Kluyveromyces lactis: one gene and its partner. The protein of the gene in region 2 interacts with the protein of the main gene of each other region in a biochemical or structural test. Links are inferred from orthologs where the notes say so. Each region holds a gene or a part of one and is shown on either strand. Other genes may lie near its edges.

Region 1 (2,827 bases), on a different chromosome or scaffold from region 2:
AAAGTCAAATTGTTCTCACCTTCTTCTACATTAATGAACTCACCCATGGTACAGTCCTGTTGATGAGAGAAACCGGACATGATCTGAGACAACGACCCATCCACGTTGTTCAACTGATAGCACCATACCGATCCGTCAACACCACCGAATGCAAAAACACCCGATACCGTTGGATGTACTTTTAACCACACAACTTCTTCCACTTCTTCTAACTCGCTACAACGTTTCCATTGAGCACCGCCCTTCACAGACTTATGAATAAATACCTTACCGTTCATATCTGCAGTGATTAAAAACTTCCCATCAGGTGTGAACCCACCAGAAATCACAGACTCAGTATGTTCTAAGGATCCAGCAAACTTAGGAGGTTTCGAATGAGAAGTCCACAAGTTCGCTACGTTGTCTGCACCACCGGTCATCACTAGGGGCAAAGTAGGGTGGTGTGCAATGCAAAATATAGAATCAGTATGCTTATCGAAAAATCCACTTGAATTATTAGACATATCGATCTCAAGGGTCTCAGCACCATCTAAACCGCCCATCTCTTGATCATTATCGTCATCATCACCAATATTCTCACTAGGTTCAACGTTATCTAAGACAACTTCTTCACCAACTTCCTCATCTGCAATGAACTCTTCTTCAGGAACATTGTCCGCTGTATTCAATTCGGTGTTGTCCATGTTAATCAGTAAACAACTATAATTCTCCGTGAGCTGTGGATTAACAGTGGTATTCCGATCCTTTAACTAAGCCAGAAACAAACAGATATGAACTTTCAATACACTTTGCATTAGTAAGTCATCTTCAAGTGATGAGATGAGATGAGCTTTAAACTGAAATTTTTCAGTGCTTAAAGAGAAAGAAAAGGACGTAAAAGAAACGCAAATGTGCAAATATGGTCTAATTGGACTATTATAGTCAGCTTGTACTGTTCAGATACCATATAGCTATCCTTCGATCATTATTGGACAGTAATACGCCTTCCAAGTAACCGGTTTGGTGCTCTAATGACCAAGTTTCGGATAATCTTGAGTAATTTTGTCACCATATACGATTTAGTGCCTTATGGAAACTGGTTCAAATTCCATATTCTATCTATAACATTCTGTATCAGTTTTGCACAAATGCATAAAGGAAACTACCCAACGAAACCAGGTTATCCATTATCCAGAGGGTTTGATACTGGTGCTGGAATAAGCGTCTCAATAACACAATACAGTATAGGATTTTAAGCTACTGCAATGAGCCAGAGTGTTGGGTTTGAATGGGGATTTCGCCCCAGTGTTTCTTCTGGTGAGAATTTGAACATGGGTCAAGAACAGACGAGCTCTACTGAGAGCAATGACATCAGTAACGACCATGAGCGCGCTCATGGTCATATTCAGAGTAGTCAGCATAGACTTACGCATGGAACGTCTTCACGTCGTATTTCAAAGCCTAGAATCAAGAGACGTTACACAGAAGAAGACGTTTCGATGAATGGGCCTGTGTCTCAAGTTGTGCAACGGGTCAGTAAAAAGAAACCGGTGTACCGGAACTATATCCAAGGACAGCCACTTCCGTTCCCGAGATCTGTAGAATTGATGGATAAACAGTTACTGCAGTCTGTCTTACTTTCGTTGGTAAGGGAACATCCAGAGATTCAGCATTCGCTGTTTTCCAAGGTACAATCTATAAGTTTCAACAAGGAACAGTACGTCAAGGTATTGAAGGAGAAATTGACTCAGGTGTATGAGGATATTCCGTATTCCAAGTATAATCAAAGCTCGGATGGTTTGTTAAACGATTATGCTTTTGGCCGTATGAAGGCTTCAATCATGGAATTTTTAAACTGTGTCATCGATTTCCTATTGTCTAGCATCCCTCCACAATCGGATAGTGTGTTACAATCATTGAAGTTCTTGAACTGTTCTACAGATTTTTTGAACCAATTGCCTGATTTCGAGACAGCTTCGAATAATTACTACAAGAATATGTGTTTTGAACAAATATCTGAGATTTGGTGCAGTTGTATACAATTCGCATCCACAGATTTATCCTTTATGTCCGTGGTTTCCAACTTAGAAGATTGGGAGTCTGTATTGCATACGTTGAATGGAAGATCGAACAATAGACTACAGAAACCATTGGAACTGATAGGGACTATCAAGAACTCGGCCGCTATGATGTCACAGGACAGAAACGGTCACCCGCTGTCTCAAACACAACCGTCCACTGTTGGGTTCTTAAACATTAGCAGCTGACGGGGACAAATGTGACAGCTGAACCCACCCTCATCATAGAATCATCATTATATATAAAGAAAACGCCCACAAACAGACCAAAAAAGGAAGATATTTTGAAACATCATAATGGCCATCTATATATCCTTGTCTATACATATATAGCTCTCTAATACAAAACTTGCATCACTCACCCTGTTCCTCTGTTCCCTTTCTCTCTAACTTCATATGTCATGCCATACTCTTTATTTAAAACTGATGCATTTATCGCTTTGATAAAGCTTCCCTTTTACACATTCGAAAGCAGAGATGGAAAAAAGAATGGCAAAATTAGGACAGCTGGCACCTCAGGACAAGTCATATCTGTTTGAGCTTAAATTTTACGTGGCTGCCGTTATACGTATCGTAAATTATAGATAAATTCATCCGTTATGGGAAACGTTCAACCTGTTCATTATGATCCAAGCACAGTGAAACAATTAACCAAAGAGATAGCTATTGCGTCTGGTATTGGTGCTTTGAAAGGTGCAGCCATTGGGTTAGTAACGGCGTTATTACTAAGGAAGTTTTCTACCACGTACAGGAACGTGCGGACCCAGGTT
Region 2 (2,904 bases):
TAGAAGTTGGTTTGTAGCAGAGCTCTCATTTATGAGCACCTGAGTTATGTCAGAACCCAGACGTCCTACCATAATAGCATACAATAAAATAACCATGTGTAAGTCGATTGTTATTCGATATAATTGCCTGATAGATTATATATGCATATGTATATATATACATTTGAACTGCCAATTACCTTTTCAGCAGTGCATTGTTGTAGTGAGTAGAAGATGCAACGAAATGTACAAGAAGTGAAAGAGTATGCTGATCAAATTCCTAAATCATTGAGCGTCTTTTCTGTTCTTATCTCTATAAGCGCTGTAATCTGGCTGGACTTCGTATGCATTCGGACTTGGTGGACGTTTTTGCTCAAGCTTTTTTCTCCGCCTTTCGAGTCTTGCCTTTCTTCTTTCGTCAAAGCTTTTTCCCTCATCCTCGTCTGAAGAAGACGAAGATGATGAAGACGATGAATCATGTCCATGATTATGATCGTGCTCGCACTCTCCTTCCTCTTCTTCATCACTCTCTAATGGGGTATTAGGATGGAAAATGCAACAAATCTTAGTTTTCTTCTTGTTCATGTTCTCATTATCTATTACTTTCTCATCCCATCTTACTTTAGACTTGGTGTCCTTCTTCTTAGTTTTGTTTTTCTCATTCTGGCCAGCACGCAATTGAAGCAGCTGCGGAACCTCCGTAACAGTGACGGTATGCGTTCCTTCAGGAAGAGCAGAAGGTCCTTCACTCATATGTTAGGAAATATTTCAAAGTTTAATTATGATGATGGATCAAACTGATAAAAAAAGCGTGACGATAGGTAAAGTTTTCCTGTCTAAGTCTTGATAATCTTTCGTAATTTCACTTATCAAAGGACTGGGAACAAAGTATGAATAATGTAAGAAATCGTTTCCTATTTCTAAAATCTTCGGCGTCAATAAAACGGAATATTTTCTTCAACAAGTCGTGCTCTCGAGTATTTGACTGTACTAGACCATGGAGCTTCGCTTTGTATATGAGATATCCATGTATGCATAGAAGTACTCCAGTCTCATCTCATTTTTAAAGGGAAGAAAGAGGTTAAATATCTGAAGGTCAGAAAGTGGTGATGTTCGTTAATAATGACTACTAAATCCATAAGCCAAAAGAAAGATCGTAACTTTGTAATGCAGTGGCAAACAGTTTACAATTGATAAAGGTATAAGCAGATAATTCGTCAAGAATTCTCATCTCTGTACGTGTGGTATCCATAAGTCATTATTAGCAGTATTAGATACACAGTAATTGAAATCTACAAGACAATTGCATACTTCTCAGGAAAGAATAAGAATTTCAATTTGTTGGTACTTTATTAAGGAAGTATTATATCAAGAAACAGAACGCTGATACAAAAGCCAATTTATCGTCTCCGCAATTCAAATCCTTCAACAAAAGATGGAAAGTTTACAAAGAATGATGATGTCTCAAAGAGCAGGCATGATGGGTGCCAATGCCACCGAGGTTCCCCTTGATGACACCAAGGAAACTGTGTACATTTCTTCTCTTGCATTGTTGAAGATGTTGAAACATGGGAGAGCTGGTGTTCCAATGGAAGTCATGGGTCTTATGTTGGGAGAATTTGTTGATGATTATACAGTAAACGTTGTCGATGTGTTTGCCATGCCTCAGTCAGGTACAGGTGTTTCTGTCGAGGCTGTTGATGATGTTTTTCAAGCTAAGATGATGGATATGTTAAAACAAACAGGAAGAGATCAAATGGTTGTCGGATGGTACCATTCACATCCGGGTTTTGGTTGTTGGTTATCTTCAGTAGATGTGAATACTCAGAAATCATTTGAACAATTAAACAGCAGGGCTGTGGCGGTGGTTGTTGATCCTATTCAATCGGTGAAGGGTAAAGTGGTCATTGATGCATTCAGACTAATTGACCCTTCTACTGTCATGAGAAACCAGGAACCAAGGCAAAATACTTCTAATATCGGGTTGATCAACAAACCGAATATTCAAGCGTTGATTCATGGTCTAAATAGGCATTATTACTCGCTTAATATCGATTATCACAAGACTTCCGCCGAAATGAACATGTTAATGAATCTACATAAGGAACAATGGCAATCGGGACTAAAAATGCATGATTTCAAGGAAAGAGAGGAGCACAACTTGGGTGAAACTCAGAAAATGATTAAGATCGCTGAACAATTCACTAAGAGAATTGAGGAAGAGAGAGAATTGAGTGAAGAAGAATTGAAAACGCGTTATGTAGGAAAACAGGATCCAAAAAGACATCTTGCAGAGACTGCTGAAAAGCTCTTGGAAGACAATATAGTATCTGTATTAACAGCGGGTGTTAACTCTGTTGCTATTAAATAACCATCTTACATACAGTAAAAATACATCAACTTCAATTTGCGAGATAAGTTTTAGCCGATGAAATGATGAATCGATCCAAGAGTGTAGATAATCTGAATAACGAAAGCAGTTTCTAAACGCGTTGCCATATTTGAATGTAACATTCTTTAAGGAAAAGAAACTCTTTCTCAACCTTATTCACTTCAATGTCATCAAACTCGTACCATTGGTCGCGTAAAGTATCAGCGAGGTGTACTTTCCATCTGCTGGCTAACAAATCTTCTGTATCCGATATTTTCATTTGTATTACGCAATCATGGGTGATATTTACTAGTAATTTATAGTGTACACCACTGAATTCTAATTTTTCAGAGAACTCTACTAGAGTTTTGTTTCTATCTTTAATGGAAGTGAAGCCTTTGTCAAACCTGTTGAAATGAAGTATTAGGAATTTAGGATGCTTCAATATACGGTACGTTTTGATGGAATCTTTGGTATGGTATTCTGTTTCGCCATTGAATTTTTGTAAAAGTGTTTCCAGTTTCGTCTGAGATACACTGTTAGCACTGTTACCG

What was found.
Region 1: the proteins of RPN11 (region 2) and STS1 form a complex in vitro, tested with the Saccharomyces cerevisiae proteins (2 studies listed by BioGRID). The link is inferred for Kluyveromyces lactis from reciprocal best matches to the Saccharomyces cerevisiae genes RPN11 and STS1.

What each region holds. Positions count from the first base shown.
Region 1 is NC_006040.1:1,331,987-1,334,813, reverse strand, and holds STS1 (Sts1p), read left to right. Parts: upstream 1-1,244; coding exon 1,245-2,246; downstream 2,247-2,827. Other genes in the region: SQT1 (Sqt1p), read right to left, coding at 1-683; RCF3 (Rcf3p), read left to right, coding at 2,657-2,827. UniProt on the Saccharomyces cerevisiae protein: Involved in ubiquitin-mediated protein degradation. Regulatory factor in the ubiquitin/proteasome pathway that controls the turnover of proteasome substrates. Targets proteasomes to the nucleus and facilitates the degradation of nuclear proteins.
Region 2 is NC_006041.1:1,251,326-1,254,229, reverse strand, and holds RPN11 (proteasome regulatory particle lid subunit RPN11), read left to right. Parts: upstream 1-1,414; coding exon 1,415-2,350; downstream 2,351-2,904. Other genes in the region: linker nucleoporin NIC96, read left to right, coding at 1-17; type 1 protein phosphatase-activating protein YPI1, read right to left, coding at 265-732; mRNA splicing protein SAD1, read right to left, coding at 2,463-2,904. UniProt on the Saccharomyces cerevisiae protein: Component of the lid subcomplex of the 26S proteasome, a multiprotein complex involved in the ATP-dependent degradation of ubiquitinated proteins.